3 linked regions of the Drosophila melanogaster genome follow. The protein of the gene in region 2 interacts with the protein of the main gene of each other region in a pairwise test. Each region holds a gene or a part of one and is shown on either strand. Other genes may lie near its edges.

Region 1 (4,031 bases), on a different chromosome or scaffold from region 2:
GCCAGCCTGCATCCCTGACATGGCGTTGCCACTCTGTGGAATTGTGCTACCCTTAATTAAAAGTTTACTGGTTAATTGCAAAGTTGCTATTTTAAAATCGTTATAGGCTGATTTTCGCAGTTAGGTATTTTTTCTCAATTTTATTTATTCTGCATTCACCTAGCATATATCTTCAAAATTGCTATTGCTCCTGCTCGAAGATTGCCATGTCAACTCAGTGTCCTCGAAATCCACGATATCTCCCAGACGCACAGGTCCCTTGACCGTCCGCATGAATTGCATCTTGGGTTGATCGACCAGCTGCACACGAACTTCGGTTAGAATGCCTCGGGCTCCAATCCGATTGAGAATTTTTATGACACGAGCCTTGGAAGCGACAGGTTGGGGCATATTTTTTGACTAAAGTCAAACTAGCTGTGGTAATAAATTGATAAATTTAATGCTGAATTTTTTTCGAATTTTAACTTTCAGACCTAAAATGAACTCCAGACACTAAAAGTACAGCTTTCTAAACATTTAATTTAGGGGTATGTAACTTACAATATCAAATGACAGTTTTGTTTTGGATATTTTAGAATACTTTGAGGTACATCTTTGCTTAATCCCAGCCGCTTATTAAGTTTGAACACTTTCGAACTTTCCGCGCAGCAAGACATCCCTCATTAATCCTGCGAGTTCCTCGTTCTTCTGCGATCGGATCTCATCGATGACTAACTCCTTGAAACCAGGGTCCTTGGCCGGATCGGTGGTTTCTTTTAGCTTCTGCTTCTCTAGCTGCAGCTGCGGTACTTCCATTCCGAATGTGGCTCCAATTCGCTCCACACTTTGGGCGCCAGTATCACCAATTTTCGACCAACTGTCCGTTCCAAACCAAATGCACAGTGGTTCATTGAAGTCCACGACATGAGAGCGGAACGGATGAGCAGGACTGCCAAATCCCAAGTGACAAATGGTGTCCCTCAGGACCTTGGCCAACTTGGGCATCTTCTGGGAATAGAACAGCAATGCGCCACCTATGAGGTGGGCCATCGATCGCAAGCAGCGGCAGGTGTGCTTCCTGATAATAGGATCGAAACCAGAAAACACATCGTACTTCCCACCGACAATTATCACTGGAAAGGGCAGAGGGTCTAGTTTTTCCGAATCTTTGTTCTGCTGACCCACTCGCTCCACTGTTCGCTGTTCGAGGATTTCCCTAAGCTCCGGTGTTACCTTCTCCATCATCTGCTGCGCCGTATCCCTCAGTCCCTTGTATGCGCACTCCAAATCCGTCCAAAATCGCTGTGGCTGGGAGAGATCTAGCATAAGGATGACGGCTAGTTGCTGCAAACCATGTGTCCGCATTGGTACTTCCAGCAATTGCTCGGCATTGTCCAGGGAGCCCAGTTCCCAAACGTTCATCACCTGCGGTGACTTTCCACTGCCAATCCGTCGTCCAAAGCTGTACTCCAGTGCTAGAGTTGGCCGCGTTGCGTGTTCCTCGCGATCAAAGAACTTATTAATGGCCGTCGTCTTACCCTTAAATAATAAAAAATATAATATTTTTAAAAAGGGGTTTGTAGATTTTTAGTGTATAACTTTTTTGGAATATGATTTTACGTGGATTTATAAGTTGGATCCATTGCTTACCACACACTTGCTTCCCAAGACAAGAATTGTCCGCTCTTTGGGAGTCGTTGTGGCCTCCAATTGGCGAAGCCGCTGCTGCTCCTCCGCCAGTCGACCGGCGATGTCCTGAATGCTGGGCGTGGCACTTTCGCCGCCCTCAGTTCTCTTTACAAACATTTTTTGAAGACGCTGGTGCAGGCTATGAAAGATTAGCGGCAAGCGCATCGCAGGAAAAGGGCATAAACTAAACTACTGCGGTTTGTTTTGCATTTAAAACGGTTGCTACTAGCAACTGCGACTGAGTGGCAACTCTAGGCAATATCAAACTGACCGTTACTTTCACCCCTAAGTTGCATAAATTTGAATATACATTTGAACATAAAGGATAGCTTTAATTTTGGATTTCCTTTATTTATTGGTTGTCATCTGATTAAATTAAACATTAAAAAATATATATATTCCAAATAGAAATCCAGCTAACGATAATAATACTAAAGGAACAAGGGAATCGTTTACCGCCATTGATTTGTACGCATTGAAATTTGTTGATTATTTTCTATTCTTTAATCATAAGCCTTCCATCGACTTTAAGCTTAAGTGTTAAAAAAGTGCGCAACAAAAGAGATACATTTCCAATTTCCTTTTGCTATAGGGCGGAACATAAAAGTACAAGCAATGTACAGCGGCAAACAAGATAGACTGAACTGGACGCGACAATCGGTATTGTATAAATAAAACAAGGATAACAAACAATGAAGACGAACTAGGCTGGGCGGTCGGAGGATTTCCGCGGCAACCATATGGAATACTTCGGAATGCTCAGTAGAGCCAGATCTCCTCCAGAATCCCGTTGTCTAGCTGCTCGGCGGGCAGGGCTTTCAGTGTGCGCAGCGTCTCCATGTAGAAGGTCAGCTCTGATGTCACCACCCCGTGCTGCGGACCCCCATTGTTGTTCACATTCAACTTGAGCAGTTGTTCCCGCAGCTTGTCTTTAAAGTTTCGATGAACAACGCCGTAGATTTCGTGTATCTGTGCCTCCGGCAGCACACCGGCGATGGCCTCGTGAAGTTTCACCAGGTGACGCGAGATGTGACGGAATGTCTGAGAAGGTATAGGTGGTCTGGCTTCCCAGGCATCCAGTTGAGCTGCCAATCTCTCGGATACAATTCCGTGTATTTTATTCTCGATCTCCTTGATGTGACCCTGGTAGTCCCGCTCGATAGTTTCGTATCCGCTCATCGCTTGGAAATGCTCTTTCAGCTTGGGCAGTAGCCATAGAACTAGTTGCAGTGCTCGCGAAACCAGAGCCAGGTTGGTGCTCGTTATGGTTTTTAGCCCAGCAACTCGCATTGCTCCTGCTCCGATAATTAGTTGGCAGCTTCTTGAGTTGAAGCAGCGCAGCAGGTCCACCACATTCCTGGCGTGATAGCTGGCTAACAATGGCAGCCGATGTGCACTACAACCGTACTCATACAACATTCGGATGAGCATTAGCGAAGCGCTGACCAACGTGTACGGTTGTTTGCCTTCCACCAAGAGCACTGGGTTGCCTGCTCCATTGCTTATCAGATTGCCCATCTCCGGTTTGGCATAGTCCCCGGCGGCCATACGTTCGATTATTCTCTGAAATTCGTGCGGAATGTCTACTTGGCGCCAGCGCTCCTGATCCAGGAGTAAGGACAACTTCTGCTTTCGTTCAGAATGGAATCGTTGAGCATATCGGGAGGCTTGGACTTTGAGGGCCAGCTGGAGGGGCACACTGGCCACTCCACAAATGCTCCTTGTTGTCTCGCCAAAGTGATCCACAATCTCAGATAGTTGGAAAAGTTCTTGCTCGCTAGCTGAGCTCCTTTCCAGGCTCTGAGGGGACACAATGTTGGCACAACGCTCATGGCAGTAGTGGCAGACGGCTTGAAGCAGTTGTTGCAATTGGTTTTTTAGTTGCTCATGGTGTCCCGGACTCAAAAAGGCTTCTGAATCTATCAGATTCACTGCGTCCTGGGCTCCCACAGCTGCGTCCGCTGTTTGCTGCATTATACCAACTACAGTTTTAATTCTTTCGAGAATGGAAACCAAAGCTTGGCTGGAGCGCTGGAGCAGAGCAATCCATTCGGGAAGGGTGAGCTCCAAGGCTTGCTCTCCGTGGCCCGTTAAACTGATCTCCTGATCGCTGTCACTCCGTGCCAAAACCTCAATCAGCAGCTGTTTTATGATGGCTCGAATGGTGGCGATTGCTTCTTGCTGGTAAGCCTGGACAAAGGAGAAGTTCTGCTTGCGCAACAGGCCCATCACAATAGCTACGAGTTTATCCTCCTCGGCGCAAACGCTGTCGGTTTCCCGGAGGGCATCCGTTAACGGTCGATTTAGATCGGCGGCAGCATAGCGCTCGAATTCCGTGGTAAGCATTTTGTCAATAAGCTTCT
Region 2 (4,113 bases):
AGAGCGACACAAATAATTCCCAAGTCCCAAGTCCTTGACTTTTTCAAGTTCAATTTCGCTTGGGGGGCTGGCTGCAACATTGCGATAATTGATGTCTCGACATTGTTAATTATCTCCTCAAAGATGTTGGAACGTAAATAATCAGCTCATCAGCCGCTTGCTTTGTGAATTTTATAACATCACCTGTGACATCTGATTGCCTGACCGAGCCAACACCAAGATATGTTCAATTATACTAATGATATTATTTCGACATTACGCATACGCAGTGTGTGCGTCTAATGGGTGGAAGCTCGTAAAATACAGAGCAAGCATTAAGATATTATTTGTGGGCTAGGTCTATTCAGTCGATGTCGAGTGCAATTATTTGCAGAATATTTAGTTCAGGGCAGGGTGCTCTTCACATTCAAAATATTCAGTCAGCCAGCCAGTGCCTTCGGGATATATTGTGCTGTATAATTTATCTAAACAGCACATTCCCGTCCGAAAATTTAAAGCCACAAAGTGTCAGACTTGACTTGCTGCGGCTGCTGCTGGCAATAAATCTTAAAGTTCATTAAAAAGTTTATTTATATTTCACCTGCTGTGTGCGAACGAAAGAAGTCTGGCAAGTGTCAAAGAAATAAAAGCTCGAATTGCCGACAAATCTTTGTTAAGCTTGACCTTGACTGATGGCCCCTCTCATAAGAAGTCGTTTTAAGATAAACCCCCAACGCACCGAAATAAATAACTTTTGTCTCGTTTAGTAGAAGCAATCAACTTCCTAAGCTGGTAATTTAAATAAAATGTGTCGTCATAAGTGTGCAATTTTAGTTTATTTATTAAAATTAGAGTTTTAATTCAAATTGTTATTTTAATTACAGCAATAGCATAAATATGTGAAATAAAAATCGTTGTACACTTTTATCAATGAATGCCATTCTCCACTTCGTTAATTAACACCAAAATAAATAGGGCCAGTGAATAATCGTAGGATTTTTTATATGCAACCCAAAATATGTGCATTCACTAGCTTCATTCAACTAAAAAGTGTTTCGCCATTGAAGAGTCAACCAGAACGCCATCAAAAGGAAGCGCTCCAATAAGTTTGAATAGCATCACAAATACACACGTCTACATGCACAAATGTATCTGCATGTGTTGCTGGAGATTGCGCGGCTTCGGCCTTGCTTTTGTAATTGTTAACAATAAAGGAGGCGGTCTAGTGTGGGGTGGGTTGTTTCATCCGGCTTTAATTAAGATCCAGCTGCTAGAATTCATGTATGACAAGTATTGGACTGCACGTAAGTTGATAGTGATATAACCAAGCTTAGCATATCACAATTCAAACAGGAGAACAGACAAATGAATAACTTTACATATGAATCTGCGAAAAGATAAGCTGGTTTATACTGCAAGGCAAATGAAAAATAATATTACAAACCCAATATTAATTATCTTCACCAACTCTGTGGAGTATATATAAAACAAACAGGCAAATGTAGACTGCGATGATAAAAAGTAAAAAGATCAAACTGATGTTTCGACAAGAAAACATAACTGGTGTATAAGTTTTAATTAAATCTAATTTGGGAAATAATTTTAAATAGTTTTCTTTAATATCTGCTGGCATACTTACTCTCGCTAAATGTAGAACAATTGCTTTCGCAGGCCAAGCTGCTTCAAATTAGTTGAAGTTCAATGGGTAATGAATTCCGCCATTTCCGTGGAAGTTTCTATATCGCCAGGAGCACTCAATCGCAACGGACGTCGTAGGAGGAGCACTCACCGAAGTCCGACTTGAGGGTGAAGTACATGCCCACACCGATGCCGATGACCATGATGAGGACTCCCAGCCAGTAGACCAGGCGCCAGAAGGGCCATGACGATGGTGGCTTCTTCTGGGGTCGGTCGGATCTCACCTCCTCCTCGTCAACTTCAACTCTTTGTGGTTGGCGGCGCAGCTTGTTTCCCATTTCCCTGGGCCTTTAACTTTCTGTACGAATTTGCTTCCCTTGGGCGATAATTGATTGGATTTTCCCTGGCAACTCGACAGCAACCGAATGATAACATTTTATTGAAATTACTTGAGCATCTCGTAGGCTGAGATTCATCTCCGATGGCGAAAACTTCTGGCTAATTATTTAAGTTAATTGGCCTTTGTCCGCAAAAGGCCTGCCCAAGCCATGATGATGATGATGGGGTGGTTAGCATTGGCCTGAAATATTTGCTCGGAGGCCACAAAATGTCTCGCAAATTTGTTCAAATTACTTGGAACACAAAACAAGAGTCGTCCGCCACTCCTCGAGATCCTTGCAGGCCCAAGTCCGTGCATAAATTTCAGAACAGGAGGTCCTGGGTGGAATACAAAAGGACTTTGTTTGCGGTCGAGAGATGAAAAGTCATTTCTCTCCATTATTTGCCAACTAATTGGTTGGTAGGACTTGTGCATTTATGTTGCTCAAATGTTTGCCCAAAGAATTCTGGAATTTGGTGAGGTGTCAAGTGGGTCTACCATCACCCTGACCTTTTGCCGTATCAATTAAATGGCCAGCTGGTCAACTGGCCAAATTGAGCAAATGAAGGATGCAACTTAATAATGGCATTCTCGTATATGCGCATATGTATGTACATATAATGCCACTTAAGCATGCCGTAGATCTCATTCTTGCCATGATTTAAGTGCATTTCGATCGGCTTTTCCAGCTTTTCCCCGTGGCTGTATCCTTTGGAGTGCTGGCGATGCCATTACTGCTTCAATTTCAGTTTCTGTTTGATGTTAATGAAAGTTTCCGTCGTGCAAATAAAGCCAAAAGCATGGAAATCAGTAAAACAAATTGCAATCTGCTTTTTATCGCACGTCGCTGCATGACTGCTGGCAGCCGGCATTTTCCTTGCTCCGTCATCGATTGCCTGGCTTTCCCCTCGACTTTTCCCTTTGCTGCTGGCCCGCCCGGCTATTGACTTGCTCATTATGGCCCTGATGATGACTGCTCTCTTGCCACAGCTACCGTTCGTTCGTGTATAGTATCTGTGTGCTTTGGTTCCGTTTCGTTTCGTTTTCAATTTTACTGCAAAAAAGGCATAGATCTCCTCATTCCGCACCCGCATTGGGGGTCGGCAATCAGGGCGGCATAAATTGTTAATATATCTTAACGGATATTCAATTTCCGTCAACCAAGAAATGCATTAAATTGGTAACAAAGCTTAGCCGCTACAACCGAACGATGGCAAAATTGTTAAGCTCCAGCGGGGTATTATTAAAAATTCAAAGTCGTTAGAGAATGGCAAAACTTTGTGCAGTCCGGGCCAAGACATAATAATAATATAGAGCCGGAGTGGAAGGACTGAAAAATAAAGAATGGCCAGGACAATGGGGAGACAACAGGCAAACTATGAACTGGGAAACTGAAAAACTGTGAGAGTGGGAAACTGGGAAACTGCAAGACTGCGAAGCTGAGATGCCGAGAAGCTCAACTATGCCCAACTTGGCTGTCCGACTGTTTATTTTCACTAGACTTCCTCTTTCCCTGGGCTTCGGCCTTATTACGCTTGGCGGCCCATCATCTGCATGGCCTTGGGGTGGGCGGTGGTGGCGATAAGTGGGCGGTGCAGATGGCAGGACGAGCAGGCAAGTTGTCAACTAAGTTTGCAACAATAATCGCCAACTTCACAGGACCTCGAATGACAGAGCTGAGGCAGCAGCAGCAGCAGCTTTCAGATAAAAACCAGAAAACAATAAGACTTTAGGCCGACTTTTATTCAGTCTTGCAAAGTTCTCCACCTCTGGCACTGCAGCGTTTACCCTCGAAAAAGCAAAGGTCCTCAAAAGGAGCAAACAGCAGCAAATAGGCTGTGCTGGCAAGGATCTCTTCAGACTTTCGAGACGTGGCACAAAGGAAAGATTGCTTTTGCTTTTTGTTTGCTCTCCGACTGGAGATTAAGAAGGATTCAAAGGGTGTGAGAAAATGCGAGCAGGTTAGTGTGTGTGGCCTGTGGCATACATAGTTATTCTTTGAAACAAATTATACATTGCCATTTTTAATCTAATTTAAATGTCGCTTTTAATTGAGAAATCCTGTAAACGGCTCAATATAAGTTGTGTGGTGACACTTAATTTCAACTTTATGCAAT
Region 3 (5,307 bases), on a different chromosome or scaffold from region 2:
TGGTAATTTTTGATCAATAAACCATATATTGAAATTTGTAAAGTATTTTCATTTTGATTCTGTAGAAAATATTATTGTCAAAAAAAGGTAGTATTTAGTACCCATATTAAATATATCATTTCTATGCCAATGTCGTTTGCTACATGAGCCACTGCTGCCTTGATCTCAACCAGAAGCACTTGCACCTGGGCACAACATTACTCACCCCCACTCCGGGCAGCTTGACGCAGACGTGGAACATCTGGCACTGGGTCTCCGGATCGGCATAGTAGCCACCCAGGATCTTGTCGTGGCAGGTGAACTGCGTCTTGGGCATGTTCTGTAGGCTGTAGGTGGGCCAGGGCCTTCCGAAGGCCAGGTCGTCGTCCTCGTCGAGCAACTGGGCCTGCGCGTATCCGTATCCACTGCAAAGTGTCGTTGCTGCAAGAGTGGAAACAATATAAAGAAGTCAGAAATCGTGATCCGGTTAGGTCTGCTCTTCAAACGGCACCTCAAGTGGGGCCAGAATCGAGTCGAATGGGTATTTAGTGGGAACAGATGCTGGTGCCGATCGAGACGATGCTGCTGGTGATGGTGCCTGGTGCCCTGGTGGTCAAGTGACCTTCGGGCCGCATCACTTTCGCTTACAACTGCGAGACGAGCTCGTGATTTATGTGTGCCGGAGCACTTGCTGCGGTCCAAGGCTGTGGAGCTACTAACTCGGTTCTGTGAGTGCTTGGGACCGCTTTTTATTTACTTTTTCGGAGCATCGATTGGTATTTGCGATGGCGAGCGACATCATTAACATTTTGGCCAGCCGAACGATATGCGATCGCTGTGGTCACAAACGGATCCACTGGATCTACTGGGCACATAGGGGTCGCTCAATTAAAATGCCAAGTCAATCAAATTTACGGATTACGCTTGTCGGACATGTGTACATTGGGCATTAAAAGCAAAACAGACTCAGGGGTCTGCCTAATTACCCTGAGATTGAACAATGTATCATTGTTGTCTATGGCTTTTTATATACATTTAGACATATCTTTTTTTTTTTGCATATATTTTTTTATTCTTCGAAGCTTCTGTTCTGCAGACAGCGGAAGATGGTTTCGCTGCAATTAAGGCAAGTGTAATTGTCATGGCAAACTGCAGAACAAAGCTCCTCTTCTACGGCTGCAAATTGCAGTCGCAGGTTGCATAATCCCCCAGTGCGCCCCCATTTATCATGCCAAAAAAAAAAAAAAAAAAAATTGGTAAAGGAAACCCAAAATGCAAAACAAAGAGAAAACAAGCCATCCAGCACAGTTCGAAGAAAGAAAGACGCTGTGGCCGAAACTCGACTCTGATTCGCATTTAATTCAAGTGAATTTCAAACCCAACTTTCCACCCCAGCAAAGCAGCCTATTGTTTGGCAGTGAACTATGACTGGGCAGATGGCATGGGGCACTGGCAAAGGCATCCCAGGCAGCTCTTTTGTTACCCCCATCCATTGTAGATTGTTCGATTTCGATTTCAATTGCTTGGTTGCTGAGCTGAACCTACAAATTGGTCAAAACTTTGGGCCGACCTAAGCTCTCACGCAGTTCAAATCCCCTCAAGCCACTGTGCTGGGCGTTGTCCCACTCAAGCTCTCACTGAAAAAATATAATCTACAGTATGGTAATTATGTTTACTGATGACCCACTCTTAGCCGTAATTGCCATTTCTCAGCCTTGTCTTCATTTTTGCCTGCTGCAGGGGCTGCCAAGCGAATTACGCTTGATTTCAAATGTGATCGATATGAAACCCATTGAATCCCATTAATTTCTTTCGCGATGGACCTTGAAGCAGCGCACTGTATCTGTATTTCATGTGTTCAAAAACAAAACCTAATGAGCATGCGATTTTTTTTTTTTTTTTACCGATATGCTATCATTTATGTAGAGAAGGTGATCGTCAGCAAATGGGATCACAAAAAGCAAAACATAGTTTTTAGTTAGAAAAACGTTTGGAAATTTTGTACTCAATCGAAATCGAATTTCTACGTTTTTCTTAAAGTTGATGCCTGTTTTCTAATCTACGAAATTGCTTAGGGTTAAGCTTATATTTTTTTATATTTAAAATTACATTTACTTAGAGGGAAAACATAAAAGGGAAAATTTTGACACAATTCAAATGTAGTTTAATAAATCCTAACCCTTCTTTGAACATGTACATTATGAAATAGAAAAATATTTTTTAAAGTATTTAAGATTAAAAAAAAACGTCACCTTAATTTTGTAATGATGTAGTTAAAAAAATTTAATTAAAATTTAACTGCTTAATCCAACTGCTTAAAATAATATCCTTTTTGAGATTCAAACTTTTACTCACCCAGGAGGAAGGCAATCATTGCATTTATAATGCTCAGCATGTTGTATTAGTTTTTATAATCCAAAATCAGGATGATATCCAATAAGTAATCCAGAGCAATTAAGCTGATACTAAATGTCGATTTTCACATGGATCGCACTGCAAAACAAGAGGGCACAACACCAGAAATCTTATGAGTATTGAAAGGGATTTGATTGCAAAACTCCCCACTGCACAAGATTTTTGCTTCTTTGTTACTTTGTTTTTTTTTTTTGTTTTGTATTTTTGCTTCTTTTTTTCACTAACTCAACGCGAAAATCATCGCCATAAAAAGTTGTCCGTCATGTAGGAAATGAGCAGACAGCAGGGCAAAATTCTTCAAACTTCGATCTTGTATGTAAATGCGTACGAAATGTGTTTCGCAAGGTGCGAAAACTACGGAAAGCCCATTTAGAAGGTGCAGCGAGACGTTGAAGACGTCTGCCTCCGCCGCACTTGGCTGGGCAAACAGCGGAAAACACAGAGTCACAGCAGAACCACCAGCCAGCAACCACCAACCACATCCACTGAGGAGCAACCAACAACCGACCGGAGGAGACAGGCGAACCAGGCGAGTTCAGCGGGCAGAGCGGGCTCGCGATGCGCGATCTGTGACTTTATCGTTCACGTTGTCGAAGCGAAATGATTTCTGAAAGCGAAAGGAAAACCACTTGGAGCCCATCGGGGCGCTGCTTCCAAGGCAGCAGCCGCACTGGTGCACAGTGGGGCAAAAATGTGTGATAATCTAATTTATCCCATCCCGATGATCTAAACTGAAATACAATACATCCATTAAACTACAAACGTTTTAAAGATTAATATAAGCATTTGTATTTATGAAATCATACGTATTTAATAGGTAAATATAAATATTTAAGGTATTTAAGAGTTAAATTAAAGCTTACGTTTTAATAGAATTTTAACATCTTGTTGGTTTAGATTTCTTAAAATGTTAATACATATAGTTGAAAGGTTAAGTTTCTTTCTTAAAGTATATTTTGTATATTTTAACTACTGTGCGTCGTCGACGCAAGCAGCGCATCAGCGTTCCAGCTTCGTCTCGCATCTTCGTGGTCGTCTGCTGTTCGGTTTTGTGCTTGTTTTTCCACCGCTTCTTGGTTCTGCTGCTTATTTGGTTGCGGCTCGCTGTCGTATGCTTAACGCAAATTACGCATACGCAACGTGTGACCATATGACACTTACTTGGTTGCATTGTACGCGATGCACCGCCTGGCAGGAGTCGTTGGCGCTCATCACTTACGTCAGCTGGCCGCAGGGCCCGCTCATGATTATGGGCAAGCACTCCCCCGCCCGACCAACGACCCCACATCAATTACACCCGCTGTACACTGAGGAAAAAAGTAGATGAACAAAGAGAGGTTTAGATTTTACAAATAAATTTGATCAAAAGTACAACAAAATAAAAAACTTCTTTGGTAGCCCACATGAGCCTTTTCTCTGGTTTCCGAATTCGACATATCCTTACAAATATTCTAGGTTATTAAAATCTTACTTCAAATTTATTTCCTTCTCGAACAATATGATGTTCTTGATTTTTGCAGTGCACTTGGTGCACCAAGCTCGTTGGTTGCATCTTCCGCTGGGTATTATGTCATAGCCGTGGCGGGGCTTTGTCATTTGCTGCCCCATCTGCCGTTGCTGCCGCGGCTGCCATGTCGGGGCAAAAGTCGCGGTGCCACCGCCAATCCGGTTATGTGTATATGGGTGAGTGTGGCATGGAGCCCCATGGATGGGGGACTCCGGGTGACGGTTAGGCTGACGGCATTTGCTGCAGTGTGGGAATTTACACGCCTGCTACTTTTGGCCAGATCTTTGGCGGATCTTGGGCGTTGCTGCTTAGATTTTCCATATTTGCTGCCCAGGAAAGATGGCTAGCAAGCAACCTCAAGCTGTCATGTCACCTGGAACTGAACTGAAGTGCGCCAAACTGCACTAAGCTGGCAGCTTGGCATTTCAAAGTTGAGGTTGCCTGCCGGAAAAAGGCCAGGCAGCCAAAGTCATGCAGATCAGCAGCTGGCGAAAAAATGTCAACTGGAGGATGACTTTCAACCCTGTGTGGTATGGAGCGGAGCGGAGCCATCTGCCAAAAAAGCTGTGGGAAGTGGCCGCCATCTTTCTAATTTGCTGCCGATTGCGATTGTGCAAGAGCTGTAATGCTGTTTGTAATAAATGTTTGTTCGCCTTGCGATCCAACTCCTGTGTGTGGCAATGACTCACGCGATCCCTCTGCGTGGGAAAGGCCAGCAATAAGGAAGTGCCAGATGCCCAAGTCCCAATTGTTATTGGAAGATGAGGTCCGACACGATCCATCGCTTGGCATTACACAGCATCTAAGCGTATTGGATTCTAATTAGCGGGCGCTTTCAATTAAATACCCATCTATTCGAAACTCAAATGGCCTCGGACTCAACGCCTGACATTGATGAATGTGCTTGCCGACAAAGACACGAATTCGGTGTTCCACCTGGCAGCTACAAGCTACAGTACACGCCAGAATCCATTGGCTGGGTAAATTATTTAATTTTTACTCATTATGTAAGCCCGATGTGCAGTAAAAGTGCCGAAAGCATTTGCACAACGTGTGGGAGCCGGTGGAAAATGCATTCACCAACAGCAGCAGAAGCTGCAGCAGCAGCTAAAATTCAATTAAGCTGAAGATGCGCCTGAACAGACTCTCGACTCTCGATCCCATCCCATCCATCCCACCAGCAACGCGCCAAAAAATGCCAAAAAAACCATTCAACAGATAGTGCAAACTTCACAGAAAGAAAAAACTGTAATATTTTAAAATCAATCTTATACTAATTTAAATAATGAAACTATACGAACACACAGTTAAGAAATTAGCTTCAGAACATGCTACAAATAATTTTGAACTTGATTCAATTGGATTCACCTTTATTTCTTTTTCGCTTGCTATAGTTTTTTTTCTGC

Evidence for each region. The genes of interacting proteins can lie anywhere in the genome.
Region 1: the proteins of CG17580 (region 2) and CG3769 interact in a two-hybrid assay, tested with the Drosophila melanogaster proteins (one large-scale study listed by BioGRID).
Region 3: the proteins of CG17580 (region 2) and CG13643 interact in a two-hybrid assay, tested with the Drosophila melanogaster proteins (one large-scale study listed by BioGRID).

Annotation. Positions count from the first base shown.
Region 1 is NT_033779.5:9,433,312-9,437,342, reverse strand, and holds CG3769 (uncharacterized protein), read right to left. Parts: upstream 1,945-4,031; 5' UTR 1,834-1,944; coding exon 1,630-1,833; intron 1,519-1,629; coding exon 616-1,518; 3' UTR 501-615; downstream 1-500. Other genes in the region: RpS28-like (ribosomal protein S28-like), read right to left, coding at 160-390; scat (scattered), read right to left, coding at 2,428-4,031.
Region 2 is NT_033778.4:12,804,540-12,808,652, reverse strand, and holds CG17580 (uncharacterized protein), read right to left. Parts: upstream 2,040-4,113; 5' UTR 1,956-2,039; coding exon 1,734-1,955; 3' UTR 1,619-1,733; intron 1,564-1,618; 3' UTR 1,424-1,563; intron 1,367-1,423; 3' UTR 842-1,366; downstream 1-841.
Region 3 is NT_033777.3:24,903,005-24,908,311, forward strand, and holds the start of CG13643 (uncharacterized protein), read right to left. Parts: upstream 3,001-5,307; 5' UTR 2,903-3,000; exon of another isoform or gene 2,723-2,902; intron 2,473-2,722; 5' UTR 2,375-2,472; coding exon 2,335-2,374; intron 421-2,334; coding exon 206-420; intron 45-205; exon of another isoform or gene 1-44.